Linked DNA regions of Callithrix jacchus. The main gene of each other region encodes a partner of the protein of the gene in region 2 in a complex. Links are inferred from orthologs where the notes say so. Each region holds a gene or a part of one and is shown on either strand. Other genes may lie near its edges. The genes, in order: GATC, QRSL1 and GATB.

What was found.
Region 1: QRSL1 (region 2) and GATC share a complex: the UniProt entries of both Homo sapiens proteins name them as parts of the heterotrimeric GatCAB amidotransferase (AdT) complex. The link is inferred for Callithrix jacchus from reciprocal best matches to the Homo sapiens genes QRSL1 and GATC.
Region 3: QRSL1 (region 2) and GATB share a complex: the UniProt entries of both Homo sapiens proteins name them as parts of the heterotrimeric GatCAB amidotransferase (AdT) complex. The link is inferred for Callithrix jacchus from reciprocal best matches to the Homo sapiens genes QRSL1 and GATB.

What each region holds. Positions count from the first base shown.
Region 1 is NC_133510.1:123,577,576-123,588,147, forward strand, and holds the start of GATC (glutamyl-tRNA(Gln) amidotransferase subunit C, mitochondrial), read left to right. Parts: upstream 1-3,636; 5' UTR 3,637-3,663; coding exon 3,664-3,744; intron 3,745-3,866; coding exon 3,867-4,039; intron 4,040-10,572. Other genes in the region: TRIAP1 (TP53-regulated inhibitor of apoptosis 1), read right to left, coding at 1,477-1,560, 3,411-3,557. UniProt on the Homo sapiens protein: Allows the formation of correctly charged Gln-tRNA(Gln) through the transamidation of misacylated Glu-tRNA(Gln) in the mitochondria. The reaction takes place in the presence of glutamine and ATP through an activated gamma-phospho-Glu-tRNA(Gln).
Region 2 is NC_133505.1:112,794,866-112,804,821, forward strand, and holds part of QRSL1 (glutamyl-tRNA(Gln) amidotransferase subunit A, mitochondrial), read left to right. Parts: intron 1-1,867; exon of another isoform or gene 1,868-1,888; coding exon 1,889-2,048; intron 2,049-2,361; coding exon 2,362-2,460; intron 2,461-5,038; coding exon 5,039-5,135; intron 5,136-9,174; coding exon 9,175-9,351; intron 9,352-9,956. UniProt on the Homo sapiens protein: Allows the formation of correctly charged Gln-tRNA(Gln) through the transamidation of misacylated Glu-tRNA(Gln) in the mitochondria. The reaction takes place in the presence of glutamine and ATP through an activated gamma-phospho-Glu-tRNA(Gln).
Region 3 is NC_133504.1:45,001,463-45,011,418, forward strand, and holds part of GATB (glutamyl-tRNA(Gln) amidotransferase subunit B, mitochondrial), read left to right. Parts: intron 1-5,231; coding exon 5,232-5,345; intron 5,346-7,679; coding exon 7,680-7,878; intron 7,879-8,610; coding exon 8,611-8,733; intron 8,734-9,956. UniProt on the Homo sapiens protein: Allows the formation of correctly charged Gln-tRNA(Gln) through the transamidation of misacylated Glu-tRNA(Gln) in the mitochondria. The reaction takes place in the presence of glutamine and ATP through an activated gamma-phospho-Glu-tRNA(Gln).

The DNA.
Region 1 (10,572 bases), on a different chromosome or scaffold from region 2:
GGGGATTATGTGACGTTCTAAAGTCCACAGTTCTCTTCTGAGCCTGACTTTTTTGGTACCATAATATATTTGTGTAGCCCATTGTGGCAATAAATTTTAGAAACAGTGAGGTTTGGCTGGCTCAATCCCACATGGGATTACATGTGGTGGCTCATGCCTGTAATCCCAGCATTTTGGGAGGCTGAGGCAGGCAGATCACCTGAGGTCAGGAGATCAAGACCAGCCAGGCCTACATGGTGAAACCCTGTCTCTTCTAAGAATAGAAAAATTAGCCAAGCATTGTAATCCCAGCTACTCAGGAGGCTGAGGCAGGAGAATCATTTGGACCCAGGAGGTGGAGGTTGCAGTAAGCTGAGATGGCGCCACTGCACTCCAGCCTGGGTGACAGAGTGAGACTGTCTCAAAAACAATCAGTGAGGTTTCTCATGGCCACACTGTACCACCTAGCTTAGACAAGTCACTTTTTCTTCACCTTTAAGTTAACAAAACACAAAACTCCCAGTGTATATATGAATATGAGGTTTGTAGGATAACAGGGTAATGGTTCCATAAAATGCACTGAGTTCCAGAGGCAAATAATTGATAGAAAATGTTGCAATTTATTCCATCTTCATGATTACAGACATTATAGAGCAGGATGAGTAAACAAGGCAAATAAAGCAAGCACCTTCAGCTTCCCCCCCATTTACAGATGCAGCATTTTGACATTTTTAGGATACGCAGTTGACAATTTACTGACTTGGGATGATAGCTGGCAACAGCAGATCTTTGCAATTTACGTCCTTCCTCCACAGCTATTCCAAGTATCTTAATTCCTGAACTAAGAATTAAGGGGGCACTGAGAGCTCTGCAGTGGTGTTCACTGCAACATTCTTGTAGTTTACACATCTTAATCTGACACCTCTTGTGAAGGCAGGGAACTGTGTTAAAAGTTGTCTTCCTCTTTGCTAATCCAGGCCAACATCAATCTTAACCACTGGTTACCATATAAAAATAAAAGTGTGCTCAAAAGCACTTCCTGAAACTTGTGCCCAGATCCCTTTTCAGAGCATTAGTTCCCTGAGAGAAAAAAGACACCCTAACCAATTGCTTTCATGAACAATGACCCCAGTACAGTGTATATAATGTCCTTTGCAGCAGAAATCAAGAGGTCAGGCACCTCTGCTCATTCTAACTAGTTTATCATTATTTGCATACAAGGTATATTTATGTAAAGTTGATTCCAGACCAAGTATTGCAACCATAATTCCAGAAAATTGTTCAATTTTAGCACACTGAGTTCCTGCAAGATGCCTGAGCAGGTGAAAAATAATCTCAAAGAGTTCATCATCTTTTACAATTGAGAGGAAAACATCGAAGGAGGAAATAAAACTCCTCTCGCCGCAGTTCCTCATCAAACCTGATGGCTATCTTCACAGATTCAGTTGACAAAAATCCAGAGTTCTCAATTTCTGGACTTCATGGTGACTATCAAGGTCAAGAAGAATTTTCAGGCTTTTCTTTGCCATGGCCCATGAATTCCAGTCCTTCAATGGGAATCTCTTTCTCCTTTATTGCTTTCTGGTAAGAGGTGAAAACACATTTTGAAGACTATATGAAGCTTGAGTTGCAAGCTTTGTAAATAAAATATGATAGCACGAAAGTCAAGTCAAGCTGACTATCAAGACTCATAACCATGATTCAAACTACATACTTTTTAAATAACAAGTAGTGGTCGGGCGTGGTGGCTCACACCTGTAGTTGCAACATTTTGGGAGACAGAGGCAGGTGACCCCTTGAGGCCAGAAGTTAGAGACCAGCCTGGCCAACATGGCGAAACCCCATCTCTACTAAAAATTACAAAAAATTAGCTGGGCACGGTGGCGCGTGCCTGTAATCCCAGCACTTTGGGAGGCCGAGGCGGGTGGATCACGAGGTCAACAGATCGAGACCATCCTGGTCAACATGGTGAAACCCCGTCTCTACTAAAAATTACAAAAAATTAGCTGGGCACGGTGGCGCGTGCCTGTAATCCCAGCTACTCAGGAGGCTGAGGCAGGAGAATTGCCTGAACCCAGGAGGCGGAGGTTGCGGTGAGCCGAGACTGCGCCATTGCACTCCAGCCTGGGTAACAAAAGCGAAACTCCGTCTCAAAAAAAAAAAAAAAATTAGCTCGGCATGGTGGCGCATTCCTGTAATCCCAGCTACTCAGGTGGCTGAGGCAAGAGAATAGCTTGCACCCAGGAGGCAGAGGTTGCAGTGAATTGAGATCACGCCACTACACTCCAGCATGGGCAACAGACCAAAACTCTGCCTCAAAAATAAATAAATAAAAAACAGAAGTACCATAATGAATAAATCAAGCGTTAAGACCTGAGGGAGACTGGAAAAGGAGCTGTGAGAGAACTGTTAAAGTTAAGTGAAATTTGAAAAAAAAAATCACTTTGTGTTACTGAAAGACTAGGTTCAAATCTGGGTTCCAGGACTTACTGGCTATGTGACCTTGAGCCACCCTCACTTCCCTCAACTGTAAATGGGATAAAGACAGCAACTACCCCGGGGGATTGCCGTGAGGATGTATTAGGTTAACTTATTGAAAGTGCTTTGCCCAGTGCTGTTCTTACAGTTCAAAGCAGTTCCACATCCATTAGGCTAGAATGACCATTTCCTATCTGCAGTTGGGGGGACTGGTAGAGATAAACAAGCTACCGAAGGGTTAAAACAATGTGATCCTCCAGTCTGAAGTATAACCCCGCTGAGACCCCAGCAGTAATATTAGAAACGTGCACCACCTGCGAAAGAATCAAGGAAACCTGATTCTAGTGAACCGGGACCAATCACTTCCTACTTCTGTGTGTTAGTTCTCTATCTATAAAATATGAGTATGCCCACCTTGCAAGTTTAGGATGAACACCAAATGAACACAGTCACAAAAGATGTGACTGTGCCTTTTATTTATTTATTTTTTGAGACGGAGTTTCGCTCTTGTGGCCCAGGCTGGAGTGCAATGGCGCGACTTCGGCTCACTGCAACCTCCTCCCGAGTAGCTGGGATTACAGGCATGTCACCATGCCCGGCTCATTTTTTATTTTTAGTAAAGACGAGGTTTCTCCATGTTGGTCAGGCGGGTCTCGAACTCCCGACCTCAGGAGATCCGCCCACCTTGGCCTCCCAAAGTGCTGGGATTACAGGTGTGGGCCACCGCGCCCGGCCGACTGTGCGTCTTAAAAAGAAAAGCACTGCACCAATATTTGTCATTCGGAGAGACACCCAAGTGGCCTCGGTGGTGATGGTAGGGGATAGGGTTCCTCCCACTGGTCTCAATGCAGCTTTTCTCCACCCTCCCAGTCCCAAGCCCCGTAAAATACGATGAGTGTGGCGGAGACAGCGCGAAGAACGCGGGGCCTGGGAACTGAGGCGCGAGGGCTCACCTGAACACACTGCTGGTAGCGCTTGAAGAGATCGGTGCACGGGTCCCCGGAGCTGTCCCCCTTGAGAAACTTCTCGGCGAACCAGCGATTGAAGCACTGATCGTACTCGCGCTTCATGTCGGTACATGCCTCCCCCACACTGTTCATGGCGATAGTGGTGACGGCGGCGACGGCGGCGCACTCTGATGTCATCACTCAGTCGCGCCGCTCGGCGTTACGCACGGACGCACTACCGGGGCCAAGGAAGGAAGAAATGTTGGCGCGGGCGTTGTGGCTGGGCCTTCGGGTCCCGCTGGGCGGGCCCCGGGGCTTCACCTCCAAGACAGATCCTCAGGTAAAGGCCAGGGCCATCTAGGCGGGTGGCGAAGCAAAACGGGAAGCGCTCCGGATCGTCGGTGACTCACATTCACCGGGTCCCGCCGGTGACCCACATTCCCCGCCTCATTCCTCTTCCAGGGCAGTGGCCGAATCACGGCCGAGGTGATCGAGCACCTGGAGCGTCTAGCCCTTGTGGACTTCGGCAGCCGGGAGGCAGTAGCGCGGCTGGAAAAAGCCATCGCCTTCGCCGACCGGCTACGCGCGGTGGATACCGATGGGGTGGAGCCCATGGAGTCGGTCCTGGAGGACAGGTAAACTTGCGGCTGCAGCCTCGCAGCCTTGACTGGGGCCAGTTCGCAGCCGTTTATTTTTATTTATTTATTTATTTTTGAGAAGGAGATTCGCTCTGTTGCCCAGGCTGGAGTGCAATGGCGCGATCTTGGCACACTGCAGTCTCTGCCTCCAGGATTCAAGCGATTCTCCTGTCAGCCTTCCGAGTTGCTGGGATTATAGGTGTGCACCATCTCCCGACTAATTTTGTATTTTTAGTAGAGACAGGGTTTCTCCATATTGGTCAGGCTGGTCTCGAACTCCCGACCTCAGGTGAGCCACCCGCCTCGGCCTCCCAAAGCGTTGGCATTACAGGCGTGAGCCACCGCGCCTGGCTCGCAGCTGTTTAATGTGGCAGTTAGCGAACCATTTTCCAGGGGGTGAAAGACCGTTGGCGAGATTCAGGAACTTGCCCGTCACCCCGCGAGTCAATGGCTTTCCTCTTCCCCGTGTTCATTATGGATGCTCTCGCTCGTGCCCTCCTAGCTAAGCAGAAACAAAACCCCATTGCCGTTGAGGCCCTACTCTATGCAGAGTCCCTGCCTACTCAAAGGTACTGCTCTTCTCAGTACCCTCCTTGGCTTCCTTGACTGCTTCTCCAGAAAGACAAGTTCTTTCCCTCTCTAGATCTTTGCACTGGCCTTTGGTTTTTTTCCTGCCTCTCGGTATTTGCATGGCTGTCTCCCTCTTGGCACAGGTTTCAGCTTATCTTCTCGGAAAGGACTCTCCTAACCACTCCAAATCCATTCTCTCCTTGTAGTCAGCAACTCTTATCCTGTTGAGTTTTTTCCTGACGTTTTAGTGGACTTTTGTTCATTTCTTGCCTCTTTTATTACAATGTGAACTCGTTATCTTATTTAGTTACTGTTGTATTCCTGCCTTGAATTTTTTTTTTTTTATTGTTTTTGAAACAGAGTCTCACTCTGTCACCCAGGTTAGAGTACAGTAGCATGATCTCATTGCAACCTCTGCCTCCCAGGCTCAAGAGATCCTCCCACCTCAGTCTCCCAAGTATAGGACCATAGTCATATACCACCAGGCCCAGCTAATTTTTTGGTTTTGGTAGAGACAGGATTTTGCCATGTCGTCCAGGCTTGTCTTGACTCCTGAGCAAAGGCGACCCACCCACCTAGGCCTCCTAAAGTGCAGGCATTTACAAGCATGAGTCACAGCGCCCGGCCCAGTGTTTGATTCTTTCAAATATTTTCTCCACTTTGCAATTTTCTTTTTTCTTTGGGACAGGGTCTCACTGTATTGCCCAGGCTGGTCTCAAACTTCTGGATTCGACATTCTCTTGTCTCAGCCTCCCAAGTAGCTGGGACTATAGGTGCCCACCACCACACACCTGGCTAATTCTTAAATTTTTGTAGAAATAGGGTCTTGCGGGCCGGGCTTGGTTGCTGACGCCTGTAATCCCAGCACTTTGGGAGGCCGAGGCAGGTGGATCACGAGGTCAAGAGATCGAGACCATCCTGGTCAACAAGGTGAAACCCCGTCTCTACTAAAAATACAAAAATTAGCTGGGCATGGTGGCGCGTGCCTGTAGTCCTAGCTACTCAGCAGGCTGAGGCAGGAGAATTGCTTAAACCCAGGAGGCGGAGGTTGCGGTGAGCTGGAATCGCACCATTGCACTCCAGCCTGGGCAACAACAGCAAAACTCCGTCTCAAAAAAAAAAAAAAAAACAGGGTCTTGCTATGTTACCCAGTCTGGTCTCAAACTCCTGGTCTCAAGCATCCTCCCACCTCAGCCTCCCACTTCCTCCAGAAATTTTTTTTTTTTTTTGAGAGGAGTCCCGCCTGTTGCCCAGGCTGGAGTGCAGTGGCACGATCTCAGTTCACTGCAACCTCTACCCTCCAGGTTCAAGCGATTGTTGTGCCTCAGCCTTCTGAGTAGCTGGGATTACAGGCATCCACCACCATACCCACCTACTTTTTGTATTTTTAGTAGAGACTGGGTTTCACCATGTTCTTTATGAAAACACTAACAGAATCCAGTAAGGTGAAGACAGGTATTTAACCTTTTTTGTTCTTTATTTTTGGCAGTTTTTATAACTTTATTGATGTATTTGATGATCAGCAAGTTAGTTCACATCCACACTGTAGATCTGTGAAAGTGGTAACAAGTACATAGGTAACCAAAGTATAGAGCTTGTTTGGTGAATTTCCATTATTATTATGTTTTCTGGACCACCCACTGCACATGGATACAGTATGGACATTCCTTACTACTTTGGCCAGACAGCTTTTTTGAGTCTGGTATCAATGGACGTATCTGGAGTTTTCCACTTCCGTGGCAAATTTCCCATCTCTTTAAGAGCCTGAGGGGCATGCTGCTTGAAGTCCACTCAGTGGATATGCTTATGAATGTTGATGGTGTCCTCTTGGGTCACCACTTAGTTGATGGCAAAATGGCCATTATTCTTCTCACCATTCTTCTTTGCAGGATCCCAAGTTGCTTAAATGGTTTTAGGTAGTAGCCATCTTAGCTATTAAAAGCTCTGACTTGGCCAGGCATGATGGCTCATGCTTGTAATCCCAGCACTTTAAGAGGCTGAACTGGGCAGATCACTTGAGGTCAGGAGTTTGAGACCAGACCGGCCAACATGGTGAAACCCCATCTCTACTAAAAATACAAAAATTAGCTGGGCATGGTGGCATGTGCCTATAGTCCCAGCTACTCTGAAGGCTGAGGCAGGAGAATCGCTTGAACCCAGGAGGCAGAGGTTGCAGTGAGCCAAGACAGCGCCACTGCACTCCAGCCTGGGCAACAGAGCAAGACATGGTCTCCAAAAAAAGAAAAAAAAGCCCTTACTGGTTAATAGAAATCTCTTTACACACTGATAACATGTCATTTGGTTTGAGCTAAAAACATTAGTGTACTTACATGACAGGGGCTCGGTTTTTACATACAGTCCTAGAAGGTCAATACAAGTTATCTATTTTATAGATGGGAAAAACTGAGGTTCAGAAAGGTTATGTAATATGCCCAGAGTTTCACCACGTTTCCTAGGCTGGTTTCAATAAATGGAGGTAATAAATGGAGGATTTGGAACTCAGAGCTTCTGATCCCAAATACTGCTCTAAGATATGCCAGCTAAAGTCAGTTCCTAGGAACTTTACTTTCTTTCATCTGAAATCCAGAGAATGAGTTGACAGCAATTCTGATTACAACCAAATACTTAAATGTCCCATGTCCCTCAGAGTCTTATTTGAACCAAAAACTTCAAACTCTTGGGCTCAACCCATCCTCCTGCCTCAGCCTCCCAAGTAGCTGGGACTAGAGGTGTGTACCACAATGCCCAGCTAAGGCTTTTGTTTTAGTAAACAGAGGGTCTTGCTGTGTTGCCCAGAGGGTCTCGAACTCCTGGGCTCAAGGGATCCTTCTGCCTCAGCCTCCCAAAGTGTTGAGATTATAGGCATGAGCCATCATGCCTGGCCTGAACCCAGACCTTTTTTTTTCCAAGACAGGGTCTCATTCTGTCACCCAGGCTGCAGTGCAGTGGTACAATCTCAGCTCACTGCAGCCTCCATCTCCTGAACTCCCACCTCAGCCTCCCGAGTAGCTGGGACTATAGGCACATGCAACCACCCCTGGCTAACTTTTTTTATTTTTACGGGAAATGGGGTTTCACCATGTTTCCTAGGCTGGTTTCAAACTCCTGGGCTCAAGCAATCCACCCACTTCAGCCTCCCTAAGTGTTGGGATTATAGATGTGAGCCACCTTGCCTGGCCCAGAACTTTTAACCAAGGGTTACCTCTGAATGGTATAATTATAATTTTTATTCCAGTCTGCATCAAACTAGAAATAAACTAGGAGAAAAGGAAAAGGCTTTTAGATGGAAGTAGAAGGATCCATAAGAATCTATTCCTAGGCTGGGCGCAGTGGCTCGTGCCTATAATCCTAGCACTTCGGGAGGCGGAGGCGGCTGGATCACAAGTCAAGAGATTGAGACCATCCTGGTCAACATAGTGAAACCCCGTCTCTACTAAAAATACAAAAATTAGCTGGGCACGGTGGTGCGAATAGTCCCAGCTACTTGGGAGGCTGAGGCAGAACTGCTTGAACCCAGGAGGTGGAGGCTGCAGTGAGCCAAGATCGCACCATTGCACTCCAGCCTGGGTGACAAGAGCGAAACTCCGTCTCAAAAAAAAAAAAAAAAAGAATTTATTCCTTGCAGCCAGATACCAGGGAAGAGGCTCAAGGAAACAAAAGCACTGGGAGAACTGTCCCATCAGTCAGTCCAAAGCCTGACAGGATCACAAATGGAGCCACTTTATCCTCCCTGATGTCATAGCACTTCCCAATGCCATTGTAGCAGCATTTCCCACAGTTACTTAAGTTATTGTTCATGAGTTTCAGTCGGCAGGGACTTCTAGTTTACAGCTGAAGTCTTTCTCAACTAGGGTTCCTCACTCAAACCAGAACACAAATTTTCAAGTGACTTTTTTTCAGTTCTCCTAAGGACAGTACGTGACAAATGTTAGCCCAAACACATAGGAGAGAAGTTAATTTATCATCAGAATGGGTGTCTTGGGGTATGTGGGCTAACTTACCTTACAGAACACTGAGTGGGAAAGACAGGAAGTGAGGTAGAAGTTTAATCAATCAGCAATTGATCTGAAAAGCTCATCTGGTCCTGTTTGGTGTTTTATACAATTCTGAGGTCCAAGAAAGTGAAGCAACTCATCAAGTGAGGGGTATGCTTGCTGTACCACTGTCAGAGACTACGGGTTCAGTAGCCCATTATTAAGAAAATAAAGCTGGGCATGGTGGTACACACCTATAATCCCAGCTACTTGGGAAGCTGAGGCAAGAGGATTACTTGAGCCCAGAAGTTTGAGACCAGCCTAGGCAACACAGCAAGACCCTGTCTCAAAAAAAAAAAAAAAAGAAAGAAAAGATGACCCCAGAAGACATGGGTCTATTTTAGGAACAACTCCATCATAACCAGTAACTAAATGGAAATATGTGGTAAATAAAGGGGTGAATTTTGTTTTCCTGGAAATTCCACTTACACAGGAAACTTGACTACTTGATGATGAGTAAATAAATTAGCTGCTATTAGATCTACTCTTGGGGAAGCAGTAGCATTCAACCGCCTGTTGGCAGTGGAGAGTCTTCTCAGAATCTTCAGATGCTAGGCAGGTAATGCCTGTTCACAAGTGCAGACTTTGAATGAGTGGTGGGGACTGAGGTATACTGGGGTGCACTAAGGCTTTCTGAAAGGAGCAGGTGCCACTCAGACCCCTCTCTTACTGCTGTGAGTGCAAGCTCAGCATTATCAGATCTTGTTTTTTAGTATCATTTCATCCCAGAAATCCTATGAGGCATCTGACAAACAAGGAAACTGAAATATGGAGAGGATAAAGTAATGATAGCACTGGGATCTGAATTGAGCTCTGACTTGAGAGCCTAACCTCTTAGTCATTTTTTAATACTGTCCAACAGAAAATATAAATTCCAGAAAGTCCAGGGGTTACCTTTGAATGGTATGATTTTTACTTTTGTTCTCCCAAATTTTCTTAATGCGCAGTCCTTGTGTTATTACAAAAAAAAAAATCCAGTGTGACTCTTGTGTGTGTGAGAGACACTATCTCACTCTGCCACCCAGGTTGGAGTGCAGTGGTACAATCTCCGCTCACTACAACTTCTGCTTCCCACGAAGCAGAGAATTGTTCAAGTGATTCTCGTGCCTCAGCGTCCCCAGTAACAGGGATTATAGGTACGCACCACCACGCCTGGCTAACTTTTCTATTTTTAGTAGACAGGGTTTCACCATATTGGATGGTCTCAAACTCCTGATCTCAGGTGATCCACCTGCCTTGGCCTCCCAAAGTGCTTGGATTACATGCGGGAACCACCGCACCTGGCCTTTTTTTTTTTAAAAACAAGAAATTTAATGTCTGAAAAGATCATACTTGTTCAAGGCCACAGTTAAGAACATGCCAGATCCTATAATAGATTTCTAGTATTCGTACCATGAATAAATATTTGTTTAGCTTTGGGCTGGGTGCCACACACACACACACACACACACAAAACTAGTCCTTTTCTAAAAGAATCTTATTTTGACAACTTTGTTCTTAGGTGCAGCCTTAGCCCAGATGTTCCTGTCACATCTTTGTCCCTCTATGACATGACTCAAACGCCATTAGGCTCTGCCCTCAGTTTGTGCCCACTCAAAGCAGGAGCATGGCTACTACTGATTACCATATCAGTAATTTAACAGACTGCTTATTTTTTAGTCCAAGTATCTGGAAGCAAGCTTATACACTTTGTACCTTGAAACAATAGTGAAGCCTCATGCATATGTTCAAGCTCCCGTGTTTTTTACTGGTTTACCATCTGAAGGCTTTAGTAAAGTCACTAGGATCCATAGAACACTGGGAGATTCTTGAGCTGTTTGTGGCACATCTTGCTCAAGGGCAGGCATTTTTACATCCACCAAAGTGGCTGTGGTGGAAAAAGCATTCATCTTAGGGGTACCAGATTGGCTTCAGATCCGTTTTCTC
Region 2 (9,956 bases):
GAAACTATATGTGATTTATATTTCCTGCTTCTTATGCTCAGTCCATCTAGCTGATTAGCATCTTTGTTTTCACTTCTGTTTTCCAATTCCCTTATTGATTTTTTTTTCAAATCTATAGTTCCTAAAAATGGTCTTAATGAAAATCAGCACCATTTAAAGTGAATACTCCTAGACAGTCTTATTTCTTACCCTTCAACCACAATTGTAATCCCAGCTCTTAGCTTTTATCCTCACACCAGTTTGGAAGCAGCTTGAGGATCGTAGACATTAGGGGACTTGAGAGGAGTCAAGAAAGGAGAGAAAGTGGCAGATGGAATTTTCCTCATTATTACAACTTAGCCATGGGTGGGCCTGCCTATATATCTGTCTGTATATATTGTCTGTCTAGCTCTGGGTTTTTGCTAGTTCTAACTGTCTTCCACCCAGCCTATCACCATCTTTGTTCCATATACACGATATTAAAACACACGGCTTTTATTCCTTGTAGCTTCTTTCTTCTGAAGGGTTTACATTTCTTATAGACCATTTGACGAACTCTCTTTTGTTGTTACTATAGAAGTCACCTCCTTAAGTCAAACCTCGCTGCCCTCCCCATCCTTGCACAGTCAGTAGCCTCCCCATGGAAGTCCTTTTCCTCTTGTCTGTAAGCATTAGGGATCCTCTTCGTGGCCTCTTCCCACTGCTTGTTGCATTTAAAACCCTCAACCCTAAGAATGCCATTGCTTTGATGATTTACTCAATAGCTGAGAGCAGATCATTTGCAGATTTTCCCCTCAAATGCAAACTTCTCTTGTTTAGTGTGTATAGGACATGTGAAAAAACTGTCAACTTGGAGGACAAACTAAGCTTCCAAGAGAATAGAGACAGAAGTGGTAAAGACTGTATATTATGAAGTCACCCTGTCCTTTACCATTTGAGTGACTTTGGACAAATCACTCAAGGTCTCTGAGCTTCAGTTTCTTCATCTGTCAATTAGATAAACAATACCTAACTGTGTGGTTGCTTTAAGGGTTAATTGAAGTAATAATGCATGTAAAGCAACAGTGTCTGGCTCTTGGAAAATACTTGGTAAATATTATTCCTTTCTCTATTCTCCTTTTCTCTCAACTCCCATCTAATCTAATTATCTTTTCATAAAATCTCCAAAGCTTTGGTGTCATCTTTTACTTCTTGTTATTCATCCCTTTTATCTGATTAGTAACTACATTTATTATTACTTCCTACAGAAAATATTAGACAGTCATGACTTAATCTCAGGCCCTACTTCCTGTCAGTATACACTGATACTCACTACTTCCCAGTCACTTTTGGTGCAGTTCTTTACCAGCCTTCCTAACATCTTCCCTAAAGATAGAATTTCAGAGAAGTTTTCCAGTTTACCTTTGAACCGGTATAAGCAGTTCTCTCAATTTATAGTGTCTCTTACTTGAACTCCACAGTAGGTATAAAGATCTTATTTAGAGAGCCACAAAAATCCTGCAATGCCTTGTCCAGTTCACTTCTCTTTTTTCCCTCTCTGGACTGCCTGTGTTGCAGCTAAGCTACCCTCTCTACAGAATCTGCCCTCAGCCATCCTTCACCCATGCTGGGCCTCATCTCCCCTGGACAGAATGGTTTGCATAACTTACTGCTGTCGTTTGTACAGCCTGACTTTGAAACTGAAGTTAGCTAAGGAGAAGAATGTCATGTCCTTCACCTGTCCTCAAGCTGATCAGTGCATCACCCTTCATCCACTACACTAAGTGTTGAGGTAATAGGTTCTCTTGATTTTGAACCCAAGCCTCACTTCAAAATGTAATACTTAGCCACTCCATCACCCCCACCACCGCCAATATAACATTTGAAACTTCTGCCAACTCAGTAAAAGGTTTTTGAATTGTGTGTATAGGTTTCTGCGGCACTGAAACAAGGCCAAATTACACCAACAGAGCTCTGTCAAAAATGTCTTTCTCTTATCAAGAAGACCAAGTTTCTGAATGCCTACATTACTGTATCAGAAGAGGTGGCCTTAAAACAAGCTGAAGAATCAGAAAAGAGATATAAGAATGGTAAATTGCTTTTAATTATACTTCATTGTTATATCACCAGAGAAGTTTAATTGGTTGTAGCAGTCTCCCTTTGGCAAGTGAAGCTTTTAACATAAAACATATCCTTATTTAAAGAACTTGCCATGAGGATAATAAAAATGGGGTAATGGATATGTGATGCTTTATAATGTCCAACTCTATTAATTTCTGACATAAATTTGGTTTCTGAAGAATTATCTATGCCAAAAACTAGTAGTTACTTTAATAACATGTATTCGTGTACCTTTATGTTGTAAACTATCTCCTTTATCACTCATTTGGCTTTTTAATGCAGGACAGTCTCTTGGGGATTTAGATGGAATTCCTATTGCAGTAAAAGACAACTTTAGTACATCTGGCATTGAGACAACATGTGCATCAAATATGCTGAAAGGTAAAATTTAACTGATCAGAGCGTTGATAATTTTGTAAAAATAAGTATTTTTCACTTTAAGGATAACAAAGTACCAAGATAATCTCAGACTAATTGTATCTTTGAAGGAAATACTTAGAATATAATATCACCTTTTTCACTATTTGCTTTTTTAGAATGCAGAATTTTTTCTTAGCGTTAGGCCAGCTTAATGAACGCTACTTCAGAAGTTTTCAAAAATTCTATTAATATTTGGGAAGACTCAGTTCAAAAACTAATTACCAGCTGGGTGCGTACCTGTAGTTCCAGCTACTTAAGAGGCTGAGGTAGGAGAATCACTTGAGTTCATGAGTTTGAGTCCAGCCTGGGCAATATAATGAGACCCCCATCTCTAAAAAAACAAACAAAAAACACAAAAAACTGATCACCATGAACACACTTTATAACCTCTAACTTGAGCTCATTGATAACATGGGAATGAGTGTGAACTGGCTATCATTGACACCCCTCTCTTGTGGATGATGTGAGGATTCATCAACATCTACTGACCAGTTATTTTTTGTTTTCTAATTCCTCTATTTTTTGTAACACAATATGGCAATGCTAGATTTATTCTTTAGAGTTTGGTCAAAAGGAATCGGGTTTATCAAGATATTTGGATCCTTGGAAGGAAGAGAAATAGAAAAAGATTATTCAGAGTACTATATGCTAAAAGTAATATTCTATAAGGAATATGCCCCACCTTCCTCTAATATTCAGACTGTTGTTAATTATTTTGGAATATATAATAGGGCTTTTCAATAGTTAGAGGAAATTTTAGTTGAAAATAAAGATCTATTTCTAACTGGAAATACATAAAAATTACTGTGTGGTATCACATCATCTGAGAAGAAAAAGTCAAGTACAATGAGCAAAATAGACATTTCCTATTACTTTCATAAATACTAAGTACATCTCTGACTATCATGTAATATTTTGTAGAGCTGTTAAAGTCAGTGTTTTTAGGTAATAAAAATAGTTGGCCAGGCACAGTGGCCCATGCTTGTAATCCCAGCACTTTGGGAGGCCGAGGCAGGTGGATCACCTGAGGTCAGGAGTTCAAGCCTGGCCAACATGGTGAAACCCTGTCTCTACAAAAATATAAAAAGTAGTTGGGCATGACAGCAGGTGCCTTTAATCCCAGCTCTTCGGGAGACTGAGATGGGAGAATTGCTTGATCCCAGAAGGCAGAGATTGCAGTGAGCTGAGAAAAAAAAAGTGAAGATTTAGATTATCTTTGGAAAACATACATTTAAGCAGTAGGAAAAAAATTACTAGAAGAAAGTACAACCAATTATTTAAATATGAATAATTAATACATATGACTGAATTGCTTAATTACAGTTTGGACTGTTCTTTTTTTTTTTTTTTTTTTTGAGGTGGAATCTTGCTCTGTTGCCCAGGCTGGAGTGCAGTGGCGTGATCTCAGCTTACTGCAACCTCTGCCTACCAGGTTCAAGTGATTCTCCTGTCTCAGCCTCCCAAGTAGCTGAAGTTACAGGCACGCACCACCACGCCTGGCTTATTTTTAGTAAAGGTAGGGTTTCACCACATTGCCCAGGCTGCTCTTGAACTCCTGACCTCAGGTGATCCGCCCATCTCAGCCTCCCAAGTGCTGGGATTACAGGCATGAGCCACCACACCCTGCCAACTCTTGTTTCTAACATATGCTTGTTTCTTACGTATGATTTGCATGTTCACTGTTGTGTTTCCTATTAAAAAAAAACCAAAACAACCGGCCTTTTGGCGGGAATCACCATCTTCCAGTAATTCACCAAAATGACAAACACAAAGGGAAGGAGGAGAGGCACCCGATATGTATTCTCTGGGCTTTTTAGAAAACTGGGAGTTGTTTGCCACGTACATGCGAACCTGTAAGAAAGGTGATGTTGGCCAGGCGCAGTGGCTCACGCCTGTAATCCCAGCACTTTGGGAGGCCAAGGTGAGCATGCCGATCTTGAGGTCAAGAGATCAAGACCATCCTGGCCAACATGATGAAACCCTATCTCTACTAAAAATACAAAAATCAGCTGGGCGTGGTGACACGCAGGAGAATCAGTTGAACCCAGGAGGTAGTAGAGGTTGCAGTGATCCAAGATTGTGACACCACTCCAGCCTGGGTGACACAGCGAGACTCCATCTCAAAAAAAAAAGAAAGGTGATATTGTAGTCATCAAGGGAATGGGTACTGTTCAAAAAGAAATGCCCCACAAGTGTTACCATGGCAAAACTGGAGGAGTCTACAGTTACCCAGCATGTTGTTGGCATTGTTGTGAACATACAAGGGCAAGATTCTTGCCAAGAGAATTAATGTGCATATTGAGCACATTAAGTACTATAGGAGCCGAGATTGCTTCCTGAAATTCAAGGAAGCCAAAGAGAAAGTTACCTGGATTCAACTGAAGTGCCAGCCTGCTCCACCCAGCGAAGTGCACTATGTGAGAACCAATGGGAAGGTGCCTGAGCTGCTGAAGCCTATTCCCTGTGAATTCATGACATAACAGGTATAAACAAATAAAAGATCTCTGGACTGTAAAAAAAAAAACTAAATTTTTTTCAGGTTATGTACCACCTTATAATGCTACAGTAGTTCAGAAGTTGTTGGATCAGGGAGCTCTACTAATGGGAAAAACAAATTTAGATGAATTTGCTATGGGGTAAGTAAAATTGAAGTCTTCTCTTGAATTTCTTCTATCTGTGCCTTTATTTTCACTGAATGTAGTTTCCTGAAAGGATTGAGGATCTAATACCAGTTTCTTAGTCCCTCTGTGAGATTATGTTCAGTTTAATAGATATATAGTCATCTCTAATTTTGTTTTTAGTTTGTATTTCCCTGATGACTAATGATGTTAAACATCTTTCCATGTGTTTATTTTGCCATCCTTGTATCTTCATCAGTGAAGCAGCTGTTCACATTCTTTGCCCATTTTTTGAAATTGGGCCATCTTCTTCTTATTGCATTGTCAGAACTCTTTCATATATTTTAGACTCAAATCCATTATCAGACAGGTGCTGATTGGCAAATGTTTTCTTCAAGTCTCTGGGTTATCTTTTCATTCTCTGAAAATGCCTTTCAAAAAGTTCTTAATTTTGATAAACTCCAGTTTATTGATTTTCTTTTTCTTTCTTTCTTTCTTTTTGAGACAGAGTTTCACTCTTGTCATCCAGGCTGGAGTGCAATGGTGCATCTCAGCTCACTGCAATCTCCGCTTCCTGGGTTCAAGCGATTCTCCTGACTCAGCCCACCAAGTAGCTGGAACTACAGACACGCCATGCCTGGCTAATTTTTTTGTATTTTTAGTAGTGTTGGGGTTTCACCATTTTGGCCAGGCTGGTCTCGAACTCCTAACCTCAAGTGATCCACCTGCCTTGGCCTCCCAAAGGGCTGGGATTACAGGTGTGAGCCACCCATACCTGGCCTTCTTTTCTCCCCTTACCTCCCCGCTCCTCTATTTTCTTTTCTTTTTTCTTTTTTTCTTTTCATAGAGATATGGTCTCACTGTGTTGCTCAGGCTGATCTCAAACTCCTAAACCCAAACTGTCCTCCCAGCTTGGTCTAACAAAGTGTTGAGAAGCAAAAGCAACCTGAGTCTGGCCCATTTTTTTCCTTTATTTTTTAGAGATGGGGTTTCACTATGTTACCCAGGCTGGTCTTGAACTCCTGGGCTCAAGTGATTCTCTGACCTCATCCTTCCCAGTAGCTGGGACTGCAAGCACACATCACCTCACCTGGCTTAATTTTTTTCTTTTATGATTCTTTACCTAACCAAAGGTCACAAAGACTTTTCCCCTACAAGTTTTATATTTTAGCTCTTACATTTAGACCTGTGATTCATTTTGAATTAGACTTTCATATGTTGTATGAATAAAGTCCATTTATTAAACATACAGATACCCATTAATTCCAGCACTAATGATAAAAAAGATTATCCTTTCCTCATTGAATGATCTTAGATTTTTTTGTCAAAAATCAAGCACATTCACATGGTTCTGTTTCTGGACTCTGTTGGACCTCTGTTTATTCCAAGCCTTGAAATTATATAGTAAGAGTCTTCTTTGTTCTTTTTCAAAATCGTTTTACATAATCTAGATCCGTTGTATTTTGATATGTTTTAGAATAACCTTGCTAATTTCTAAAAAGAAGTTTAATGGGATTTTGATTGTAATTGTGTTGAATTTATAGATCAACTTGAAGAACTGGCATTATAATACATGTCTTCAAATCCATGAATACCTAAATTTGTCTATTGAGTGAGATTTTGTTTTTCTCAGGAATGTTTTTATGATGTTCTGCATACAAATTATATACATAATTTGATTTACTCCCATTTTATGTTTCTTAATGCTATCGAAAATGATATTTTTTTTAGTTTCTAATTGTTTATTTCTAGTACATTGAAACATAGTTGATTTTTCTATATTGACTTTTTATCCCACAACCTTGTTAAAGCTCGCTTATTAGTTCTAGTTGGTCTTTGTGTATTCTATGGAATATTTTATGTAGCAGATTATGTAGCCTGCAAATAGAGTTAGTCTTATTTCTTCTTATTTCTTTTACTTGCCTTATTGGCACCAGTTAGGGCCTTAGGTGCAATGCTGAATAGAAGTAGTAAAAGCAGATTTCCTTGCCTTGATTCTGATCTTGGGGAAAAGCATTCAGTCTTTCACCAAAAATACTTTATACTTACCCTTTTATGACACTCATCTCATTTGTAATATTTGCTTGGTCTTTGTTCCCTGTTTCATAGAAACAAGAGTCCTTGACTGTGTAGTTCAGAGTGGTATCTCTTGGAATTCATTAAATGTATGTTGAATGAACTAATCCATGGGAGTAAATTTGAACAAAGGCTCTTAGCACATTACCTTCATCAGCTCATCAAAATTAACATCACCAGTGAGGGTGAAGTGGATGGTGTGCCTCCAGATGTAATTGTCTAAAGATACGATATCACCTATGTAATATTCCAGCTGAGAATGTATAACCTGACTCTAATAACAGAGAAACAAAAGATTAATCCAAAATGAGAACCATTCTATTAAAATATCATATGAAAACAAAAAGGGGCTGTGAAAATCTTCCAGGATGAGAGATAAAGAAGGCAAAACCTAACATCATAAAACTTAAGAAAATTTAGAGTAGGTGGGGCCTGGTGGCCCACACCTATAATCTCAGCATTATAGGTGTAGGAAACTGAGGCAACAGGATTGCTTGAGCCCATGAGTCCTAGACCAGCCTGGGCAACATAGTGAGACCATTCTCTACAGAAAAAAACAACTTAAAAAAAAAACAGCGAAAAATCTTTGTGCCCTTGAGTTAGTCAAAGGTTTTAGATAGGACACATGAAGCACAAATCCACTTTAAAAATTAATAGATTAGATTCATTAAGAACTTCTGTACTTTGAAATATGCTAAGAAAATGAAAATGCAAGCCACAGACTGAGAAAAATATTTGCAAAACATATATCTGAGAAAGAACTGATATCTAAAATACATAGAACATTGCCCACCTCAATAACAAGTAAATAAGAAAAGAAGCAACTCTGTTTTTAAGAAATGAACAAAAGATTTAAGCAGGCATTTCATTAAAGATTAAAACATAGTTGACAAGCACATGAAAAAATGCTTAATATCTTTGATCATTAGGGAAATTAAAATCACAATGAGCCTGGGCACGGTAGCTTACACCTGTAATCTCAGCACTTTGGGGGGCCGAGGCATTAGATAGTGGACACTTGTAGTCCCAGCTACTCTGGAGGCATGAGAATCCCTTGAACCTGGATCACTTGAAACCAGGAGAGAGGTTGCAGTGAGCCAAGATCATGCCACTGAATTCCAGCCTGAGATAGAGCAAGACTCTGTCTCAAAGAGAAAAAAAGACAATGATAACTAAATGGAAGACCTGACTAGATTTGATCCAGGAAGGCGATAAAATGCCATAAAGTACATTATTGAATCAGTTGACACATTTGAATTACATATAGTACATTAAAGTATTGTATTGATATTAATGTTACTGAGATTGATAACTATACTGTAACTGTATAACATGATATCCTTATTCTTAGGAAATACACACTAAAGTATTTAGGGTTAAAGGGCTATAGTATATAACCTTTAAGATACCCTTGAGTATCTACATATGTACAAACATACACAGAGCACACAAGTAATAAAGCAAATGGGATAAAATGTTAACAATAGATACATCTGGATAAAGGGTATAAAGTGCTTTAGATATGTTATTTTTATTTTTGCAATTTATTTGATAATAAAATTTCAAATATTTAAAGTTATTAGCATTCCACTTGTAATGTTTTTCACAGAACTTCTAGTTAAGGGAGAGAGTTCCTCAGAAAACTTCATGTTTGAATGTGACCCTTTTCAACTGGAAGACCTTGATTCACAAGGGAAATCATCTTCAATCAAATTGGATGATTAAATGAGACAAAAATCTTTTCTCTTTTCTTAGCAGATTAGTTTTCTCTACTTTCTACCACCAGTGCTCTTCCTTCCCATCCTCCGAAACTGTCTAATTAATGAAAGCTACATCTGAGCAGGCTTCCCTCCTTTTTCAATTCAAGCTACAATGGGTTCTTAAATGCTCAATGAGTGTTAGAAGCAAATAATATACTCAGAAGGTGAAATTTTCACATAAAATGAAAGTTTTACTAAGGTATCTTGCTTCACTTCATCAGATCTGGAAGCACAGATGGTGTATTTGGACCAGTTAAAAACCCCTGGAGTTATTCAAAACAATATAGAGAAAAAAGGAAGCAGAATCCCCACAGCGAGAGTGGAGATTCAGACTGGCTGATAACTGGAGGAAGCTCAGGTGGGAGTGCAGCTGCCGTGTCTGCGTTCACATGCTATGCGTAAGATGCTTTTCTCTATCTGTATTTTAAAACCCACCCAAATACAAACATATAGTCATTAACTATATGTAAAATGCAGCAGTAGAGTAGTTCATACCTTCGTATTTTTAGTTTTAGTGAGCTATATGTGCTCAAAGGTATATCAAAATTATATCTTGTAATTGCACTCAACTGTACAGTACACTGTGTATATTTTATACTTCTAACTTAAATATATGTTAAAATAACATTTTTCTGCATAGTATCTGGTTCTCTTAAAATATGACTTTATGGATCTTGCAGAATAAAGCATTGAGCATAAATGAACTTAATTGCATTTCATTTTTTAAGTAATTTGAGTGTCTGCTCACTGATTGTACAAATATTTAGGGACTAACATACAATGGCTTTAGTTAAGTGCTGCTGAGCTAAACTGTTAGTAATGTTTATCCTTCAGCAAGATCAGATTTTGGAGGAAAAAAAGGAATAAAAGAAAAGAAAAAACGCTACTATGTATTCATAAGATTTTAAATAGTGTTTTCCTGAATATGCAATTAAACATGTGCATCAGTAAGTAAAGTTTTTTCAAGCTTGATAGGCGGTGATTGTTCATCTATCACACTTTG
Region 3 (9,956 bases), on a different chromosome or scaffold from region 2:
CTCTGTGTTAAAAGAGTGGTTTCCTTTCCCTGATTCATACAGTTTGTAGAACATTTTTGCTTTTATGTCACAGCTTAGAGTCTTTTGGATGTTGATAAAAGAAATGTTAAATTATTCATTATCTCGCCTAATTAGCTTGGTATTATATTTAGGTGATAGGGCAAAGAAGAATAATACAAAATGACCTGATTGCCCTGGGAAAACTCAGTCTGTTTGGAGACACAGTGCATTCTCCAAGTGCCAGGGGAGCTAAAAGGAAGAAAGACCTAGACTGAAATAGTGGTGGGAAAGATGTCACAAAAGAGGTGACATCCGAGAGTCTTGCCAGATGCTAAGGTCTTGCTCAAGCAGATGAGGAAGCAGGCCATTCCCAGCAGAAGCAGCAGATTGTACGAAAGCATGGTTCACACTTGGCTGCAGGAGCATGGTGATCAGGGGAAATGGAGGAAGAGGAAGCTAGAGAGGTGGTTGGGGCTAGGACTACCAAGGGCATTGAAGCCCCTGCCAGGCACTTGGACTTTATCCTGGTAGGACTAGGGAGCAGTAAAAAGGATTTTAAGCAGAGGAATTAGATGAACAGATTTATCCTTCAAAAAAGTCACCCTAGGAGAGGTGTGGAAGGGAGATTAGAGGGCTGGAAATAGAGGTGAGAAGCCTTCTGGCCAGGTGGTAAGTGGCAGAAGTCCTGGTCGGAGCGGGTGGTGTTTAAACAAAGATCTGAATTAAAACTGAAGGCCTGAGGAGGAGGGGAAAAATCAAGGTATGTTAAGAAAGTAGAATGTGTAGAACTTGGTGATTTTTTGAAAGTGTTGGGAGTTGTCATTAAATGATGGTCTCAGAGATCAGGGAATGTTTGTTGGGTTTAGCTAAATAAATGTTAAAACTAGAAGCCTGTTTCTCAAATTGGGTTCGCTGTGTCCCCTTAGAGGTCTCATGCAAACTCTGAGTTGTTTATGGTGCCCTATGAGCTGGATGTATCTTAGGTTTCAAACAAGTTATTATTGCAGCACTACTGAGTCTTACAAGTAAGCCAAAGTCAAAGACCCGCCACCCACCACCCCAGGATCTTTTTCCTGGCCATGATGTGCCTTATCTCTATCTACTAGTCATAAAATTTGTTGGCCATCCACTGTGTATTTGTCTCATCTCCTACCTCTACCCATCACAGCTTTCTCGTCTTCTGATTAAATAAAAGAATTAACCTCGGGGTCCAAAGTGGCTCCCGCCAGAGGTCATGGCGCTCACGAAGGCGAGGTCATCAGTTCAAGGCTAACCTCATAAGCTCAAACTGATTGACAAAAAAAAAAAAAAAAAAAGAATTAGCCTCTTATTTAATAAATCATTGTATGAGTACCTGTGTCTCAGGGTTTCTGAAGTCTGGCAATAGAATATCTTCTGCTAGTTGAGAAAACATGGAGGCTTACCCATCACCAAGTCTTCCACATGCCAGAGACTGCACTGAAAGAACACTGAGTTCTTTCATCTAGTTAAGAAAAAAAACAGTGCTTGCCCTCTGGGAGCTCAACATCTTCTGGAAACAAACCTACAGAGGGAGAAAGTGGCAAGAAGAAACACACTAGAAATAGCATCAGTCTTAAATGATGCACAGTGGAATTTGGGCTGAGGTGCTGCTCTCTAGTTACAGCCTGGTATTAGTAGGTTTGATAACTAAAACTAACATGCTTTTATCTTGTAAGATTTCAGATCGAATATAGTGGTTGAGAGCCTGGGTTCTGGGGTCTGACTTCTGGCTCTGCCACTTCTATGCGTCACCCTGGCCAAACTGCATCATCTCTGTGCTTCCCTTCACATAACATGAGAATCATAATAGTATCTACCCTCGGAATGAGAGGATTCAATGGCATGTGTGTGTGACATGCGGCACACCTCCTGACACAGTGTCAGTGCACATTAAATACTCACCACTGCCCCTTCCTTAAGCTAAAAAGAACCCTCTGAAGGCCCAGCTGAGACAGGTGTGCTGCATGAATACCAAAAGATTGCTGCCTTCTTCCAAACGAGAGCTGCTGTGGCTAACCCTGAGATCCTTTGTAGTCATTTAATTACAAATAAATTCTGGAACATACTTTCTTCAAGACAAGTTAGTCTTTTGAGTTTTTAAGTTAATCTTTGATTGTATCACACACAATCAGTTGTCACTTCAGGGCACTTCCAGAAACAAGTTTGAAGGCCAGCATGTGGCAGGTAACATTTTAGGGGAGATGGGTATGTATCACTGCCGCTCTGAGACTTTCCATCGATCCCCATCCCCTCCCTCCTCCTTTGAGTTCAACACACATTAATTAAGCATCACTATTTTTCAGGTTCTGTATTCAGCTCCAGGGATACAAGGGTGAACAATTTCTATCCTCATGAAACTTGCAATTGTGTGGAAATATATGTGAACAAATTCAATCCATTGTGATAGAAGCACCAATGGGAGTGTGTAGGAAGTCAGAAGAGGTACACAGAAAGGACAACAAGGAAGGTTTCACAGAGGTGGTGACATCTCACCAGGATTTTGAAGGGAATAAGAATGGGGAGACTCAGAAAATCAGCATGATTTGCACAGGAGAACTTGACCAGAGGTGTCAGGGAGTGGGGTGCTCGGTAGGAGATGAAATTGAAGATGTAGGCAAGAGGTTGATCATTTAAGAGCTTGGCCTATGTCGTGGGAACATCAGGGGCCATTGAGGGACTTCAGGTAACAGAATGCCACAGATTTACATTTTTAGCAGGATCAACCTAGTATAAAAGACAAACTTGAAAAGGGTTTGCAGTTGCTGGCAGGTTCATGTCACCATTGCTGATTCATTGAGGGCAGAGATAGGGTCCTATTTGTCTCTGTATCCCTAAAGTTTAGTGCTTTATAGACATTTAAGAATTTTTTTGGAGTGAAGACAGCCCAAGTTGAATTTTCCCATTCTGCATCCTATCCTCAGAACATGCTGACCTGGACCTCCATCTGTCACAAACAGCTTGACTAACATACTAGGACATTCCTTTTTTTCTTGGCATTCTTTTACCTGGCACTCTCTGTTTACTAGCCCCTCTGTACAGCTGTAGTATGTGGTGATTGATGCTTATAATTCTGACCTTGAAGTACTTCATGCCTTCTAAATCATGAAAAAAAGATTAAAGCATATTTAGTATCACTGTAATGTTTGTTGTTTTGCTGCCTCCTTCTTCTTTGGGAAGTGGTGGTTTATGAAGTGCCCATGCACTTGTGTGCACACGGACACAGTGAGAATCTGTGATTACCCCCAACTCTTCACCCACAGGGAGGCTAGATGCATGCTCAGACATAAACAAAATAACCTGCGTTCTCTTCATGCCTAGGGAGGAAGCAGCTTGGCCCCAGCGGCAAAGTGGCTTGAAATGAGAGCAAAAGCAGTGGTTAGGAAAGCAGAGGGAATGATAAAGCAGAACTGGTGTAGACCAGGGAGTCAAGCAGTTTATGAGCCAGGACATTCTGGCCCCAGTAAGAGGAAAGCCCAGGGTCAGGACTCCAGCTTCACGTTCTGTGTGCCTGGACCCAAATCATCAGGGTTGGATTTGGCAGGATTAGCATCTATATTTGTATCTCAGTAAGAATCACTCAGTAAAATGCCAAACATTAGGCAAGTGAAAACATCAATAATTAGAGCTTCCTGTTCCCCACACATCTTTTCTTGAAAACCTTTATTGCTGCAGAGCTGACGTTATTAGGCACAGAATGAAGAACTCCAAATATAAACTGTGAGATGGCTCCACCTTATAACCTGAGACCTGAAAAAGAAGGGTGTGATGTCACTAGGAGGGAGATGTGTTTCGTTTTTCTTTGGGGACTGTATATTGCAGTAAGTAGAAATGCCCCTTACATTTTGTTATACAGATTTCTTTTTAAAACCTGTGTGTTTGGTCAGCACTCATCATCCCAGCCCAAAGAGCCAGTCCCTGAACCACAGAAGTTCTGGTGGGCGCCTCTAGGCCAGCAGGGCATGTGTGGGCTTTACAGGCAGCTTCACCACTTGCCAGTTCTGTGAATTTGGGCGAATGTTTTAGACTCTTTGGATCTTAGTGTTGTTTTTTTTTTAAATCTGAAATATTGGAATAATACAGATTCCTTATTTTACAGGGTTGCTCTGAGGCTGAAATAAAATGCTGAATGTGGAAATGCTCCATTAGAAGGCCTCGTCCATAGAAATAATAGTATATTAAATATACCAAAGAACATCATAAATATCCTCGTAAAACAAAGAAATATATTTCATCTGCAAACACGACATCTTCCAAAATTTTCCCAAAGTAGAGTAAGGAAATGAACTATTTACTCTTTAAAGTAAACTATTTACTATTTAAAGCTATCACTTTATCCATTCTGCAAAGTAGATCTTAAATCTCAATTTTAGACACAAGGAAACGGAGGCTCCTAGTGACAGATGTAGCAGAAGTGGGATTCAGACCTGACTCAAGAACTGAATGCTCTTTCTCCTAGGCTACATTGTCTTTTGTTGTCTGTCTAGTTCCAAACTCCCAGGGTTCTTAAAAGCTGTTCACATCCTTTGGTGCTGGGAGGTATGCTCGCCATTTCTTAGTCATTCACTCCTGTAAGAGGGGCACGGTGGGACCCAGAAGGAACTGGAATGCCAGGCACTCCTGGAGAGTCACCAGCATGATGTGTGGCACAGGCCCTCCTTAGGAGTTCCACATTTAGGGAGTTGGCCTGGCACGGACAGAAAGCCAGGCAACAGCTGTGCCACATTTCCTAGTCCTTGAGAAAATGGCTATAGCCCTGTTGTTTTCAGAAGTTCATTCTTTTTCTGTCAAAGTAAAGCAACCCTTCATCAGAACTTCTCCCAGGAATCAGGGCCTCTTGTGTATTCTGACCGGTCCCTTATTCTGTTTGTAGAGGAAGTAAGATTAGATTTATTCTATGTAGTAAGCACTCTGCTAAGCTTTTCTGGGACTCTTCCTGTTAGCTTTGATGCCAAGCATCGGGGGAAAGGGTCCCCGATGTGGCAGTTCATTCAGTGCCCAGTGGGACCCACTGCTGCATGCATTTTCTTTTTTATATCCTTTCTCTGAGTCTCAGGCAGAGTCAGCTTGTGAACTGGAGCTGCCCACCCAGAGAACCAGAGATAATGCCTGTTGAAGGGCCAAGTTGCATATTCAGCGAGGATGTCAGTGTGTGGGAGAAGCATTTGTTCAGCCTGCGGTCCTGAGAGGAACTGTGTGTTGTGTTTCCATAGGTTCTCAACAGGAGGTGTGTAGAAGCGGCGGTGATGACAGGCCTGGCTCTGAACTGCCACATAAACAAGAAGTCCTTGTTTGACAGGAAGCACTACTTCTATGCAGACCTCCCTGTAAGTACACTTTGCGATCCACCCCACTACAAGTTCTCAGAGCTGAGCCAGCCCTGCTGTGGGGGGTTGGAGCGAGGAAAAGGGACTGTGTCTCTCATGTTTTCAGCCAGCACTTGTGTCCATCCCAGTGGGAAGTTCTGCCCGGTCCTGATGCAGGCAGGTGCCCCCGATGTTTACTAGATTGGATGCAATTGTCTTGATTGCTGACTTCTTGCTTGCCTCATGCTTCTGGTGGCTTGCTCATAATTGCACAGGGAGTAGAAGTCAGTGTTCTCAGGCTCAGCCCGGCTGTGGTATTTGGTGCTAATTGCCTGTTAGTACAAAAGCTAAGCCTCTGGCTGATGCAACAGTAAATGCATACTGTAGCTCTGTCGGAAGAGGGAGAGTGTCTGGCTTTTAAGTTGAAGTTCCCAATAATAGGGCCGTCTCCTTTGGAGACATTTCTGTCATCTCACAAGGAGCAAGTAAGTGGACAATAGTAAGCGGAAACATGAACCAGAATCCTGGACCAAGAACAGTAATTGGCTGAGCAGTAAACGCTGTATTGACCCGCTTTTTTTCCGAAAATTAAAAAGTTTTTTTTTCTTAAAGCCACACCATGTGAATGAGAGCCAATTTTTCATACTATTGAACTGTAACAGAACTGAAATGTTGAGTGGGTTTCCCAAAATCATGTTTCTTTTGATATGATTTGGAAAAACAACAGTAATGATGTTGCTTCACCTCATTCTCCTTAAACTGAAGATTGGGGTAAGCTGTTTTTTAATGGGTGAGGGCATGAGTAGAATTAAATAAAAAATCCAAGTAAGACCTGCATTCTTCAGTGGCTGCTGCTTTTCCCCTCTGGTCTTCAGCCTCTCAGCAAGCCCACTGTTTCACGGGGCAGAAATAATTAAAACTCCATTTCTTCATCTTTTAGGAGTGACAGTTTGGTTGAGGTGGGAGATTTAGTAATAATATGACTAAAATGAGGTGTTTTGGTCATCTGTGGCTTTCTGGTCTTTCTGGCCCAGATAGTTCAGATAATCCAAGTTTCATGAGACCTATTTATCTAATAAAGCATTCCTTGTTTATCTGAAATTCAGATATAACTGGGCGTCCTTTATTTTATCCATCAATGCTAACCAGAGCTTAGTTTTACAAATTGAGATTTCCCGTCTTAGCATAGAAAATGGGTTACCCTTTCACAGAGTTCTCAAAATGTGGTCCCCAGGGCACTAACATCATCATCTCTGGGAACTGGTCAGAAACATAAATTCTCAGGCCCCACCCTCAACCTACTGAATCAGAAACCTTTGAGGTCAGGCCAACCAGTCTGTATTTTGACAAACACAGCAGTATTTCTGATGCTGTTCAAGTTCTTAAACTGCTGGCTGGCCAAGTAGTGAAAGACACAGATCTTGGAGCCTGACCACCTGAATTCAGACGCTGACACTGATGCTCACTAGCTCTGTATGTGGCTTTGGGCAAGGTCCTGATCCCTCCGTGCCTTGTTCCTCTTCTAGGGTTGTTGTGGAATTAACTGAGCGTTACACAGTGAGAGCAGCATCTGGGCCCTAGCAAGTGCTGCCGATGCCTTTGCTCTTATTCTCTGTTCTTCTTCAGTTCCCCTCATTGACCTGCCATCTCTTTAGTGTGTATTGATACATGTGTCCATTTGAAAGTAATTCTTCCTTTCCACTTAGAAGCTGGTGAGGGATCCTTGCAAGATCCGTCAGTGCTTTAGTACTATGTGCTTTCCGTTAACGGAGGGTGAGTGTCACAGCATTTTCTGGCTGGAGGAACTAGGGAAGTTGGGTCAGGGAGGGCAGCTACCATGATTGATTTCTTTAAAAAGCAGAAACCAAACAAGCTTAAACACACACTAGCAACTGCTGTTGGCCCTGTGGAGAATAGATGGCAAAGTGCTTAGCCAGCATTCGGAATAAGGAGGGTCTGCCAGGAGCCCGGTAATGAGATGCAGAGTTTAGGCTAATGAGCTGGATGGAAACAATAAATTCTTTTCTTAGGGGCCCCTGACAATGAGATTATTGTTATTCCCCAATACAGCACATTAGTGAGGGTGATGGGATGAATTCGTGTTGTTTCTTGTGTTTATTGAGGGTGGAGGATTTGGGGAAGGTGAAGGAGTGACGGCAGGAGCAGAAGGGACCAGGCTCAATGATGGCTGCTATGCAGCAACTAATTTTTCTTCTCCTTTTCCTTTTTTTTTCTTGTTACCATTTTTGCTTTAAGTAGGCCTATCTTTGTCTGACATTGTAAAAGGGATAGTAAACTGGATCCTAGCTTTTATGTGTTGACCAGTGACTGTGTGTACCCTATGTTTGTGTGCAGGCAGGCTACCAGATTACCCAGCACAGGCTCCCAATCGCTGTGAATGGGAGCTTGACATATGGCATCTCTGCAGGGAAGGAGTGCGGTCAGGTGATCCCCAAGATGGTGAGGGTCAAGCAGATCCAGTTGGAGCAAGACAGTGGCAAAAGCCTCCACGACGACCTGAGATCTCAGACGCTCATTGATTTGAACAGGGCGGGTAGGCTTGGAGTGTTTTCATTACTTCTCCTTCCCACTTCATTTCTTGGATTGCAGGCCCCTCTTTTTCCCACCAGAGTTTTCCTTAACAAATTGAGAAAGCAGTCACAGGAGCCTGACAGATGGAGACCACAATATCAGCCTTGGGATTGGCATACGTGATTAGTGAGCATGGCTTGAACTGTGATCACTGTTAGGCTTGCTAATAACTCACCCCTGAATTTACACAAATTTAACCACCTAATCGCAGATCCAGCAGTTGGATATTTAAGCGGTCGTTAAAAGGGTTGAAACAGTTAAAAATCAAAAAGTAGGGCCTAGCGGTGGTGGCTTACATTTGTAATGCCAACGACTCAGAAAACTGAGGTCAGAGGATCAACTGACGCAGAGTTTGAGATGAGGCCGGGCAACATAGCGAGACCTAGTCTCCAAAACAAATTAAAAACAGCCAGGTGTGGTGCCATCCACCTGTAGCCTCAGAGGTGGGAGGATCACTTGAACCCAGGAGTTCAGAGCTGCAGTGAGCTGTGATCCTGTCACTGCACTCCAGTCTGGGCAACAGAACGAGATGACACCTCCAAAACAAAAAAAGTGGGAGGGAAGAATGATTCAGAGGCTAGAACCACTTTGAGAGTCCATCAGTAAGGCAGAGTTTTCCTGAAACTTAGGCCTGATTTTTCTGCTGGTGAAATTGGCGAGCTGCAGTGAGGCTGACTCTGCCTATCTTTGGTAGGAGTGGGCCTTCTGGAGGTGGTCCTGGAGCCCGACTTGTCCTGTGGAGAAGAGGCGGCAACAGCTGTCAGGGAGCTGCAGCTGATCCTTCAAGCCCTGGGGACCAGCCAGGCGAACATGGCAGGTAGAAGCCACAGCAGCAGCATTCTTCTTTCCCTCTCCCTTCTTGCCTCCTAGACCTTCTTTGACTTCAGTTTTATTTTTCATCATCAGTTATATTGAAGTTGTTTGCAGCCATTTTTCCCCCAGTCTTTTGTAATCCTGTTTTGGTTTTTCTTTAGAATTCTCCTCGGGTTCTTTACTGAGCTCCAACTCAAATACAAATATACGACCAATAACAGTGTAGAGACACCAAACCGTTAATGAAATAACGGCTTTGAACAGTTCAGTCTTTCTTAGGAAGAAGACACTGTTTCTCAAGAACACTTCTTAGTTTGTGAGTTCCGTATAGATAGCACTTCATTGTCAGTTGCCTCTTTTCCTTTGGGTCTGTTTCTTGTGTTTTGTAGATTTTTCATCCATATACAGCTCAAGCCAAATTATATTGACTATAAGCGAAGATTATGAAAACTTTAACCTGAGATAAAATCTTAATTAAGTTGAGTAAAATATAGGAGGAAACTAAAACAAAAGAAACACTTGCACCCTTGGGACCAAACGGACTACACATTTTAAACATTTGCAAATTGCATATAAAGATCACAGGTTTTGGTCACACTCAATTTCTTCGTGGCTGTAGGTGTCCTTTGCCCTGGCCTGGTACTGCTTTGTTCTTGCGTAAGTCCCTAAAGGGTAGTCTCTGCCATCGTTTTATCCTGTTCTCTGTTCCTTGGGACTTTTTGAAAACTTCTGCCACCCTCAGAGCACTTCTTGATGGAGAGGAGACAAAATACAGGTTCTGAATCTACAATTGCGTTTTTCCGTAGCTCGGTTCAGTGGTCACAGCAGGCGCCCCGGAAATGTTGTTGATGAAGATGTTCATCTCCGTGCTGGTTGATAATACTATTTACCAAGCTTAGCATGTCACATACTGTATTTGCACATTACGGGGGGACTTCTGGATTTGTAATGCCACATTTGTCACATAGGATGTTACAGGCAACAAATTACAACATCCGAGCCTTGGTACATGTTGAATCTGAGGACAGAACTTGCTTATTTGCTTTTATCTTTAAGCTAAAGTCTGCAAAAATACAGCCACATGAGTTTGAGTGGCAGAAAGATTAGCTGCCTACAAATTTCTTTATAGATATGATACTCTCTTTTAGAGTAAGAGAATTTTCAATTTGAGATTTATCGCTCATGCCACTGTTTTTTTTAATCCACAGAACAAAAATGAAATATGGG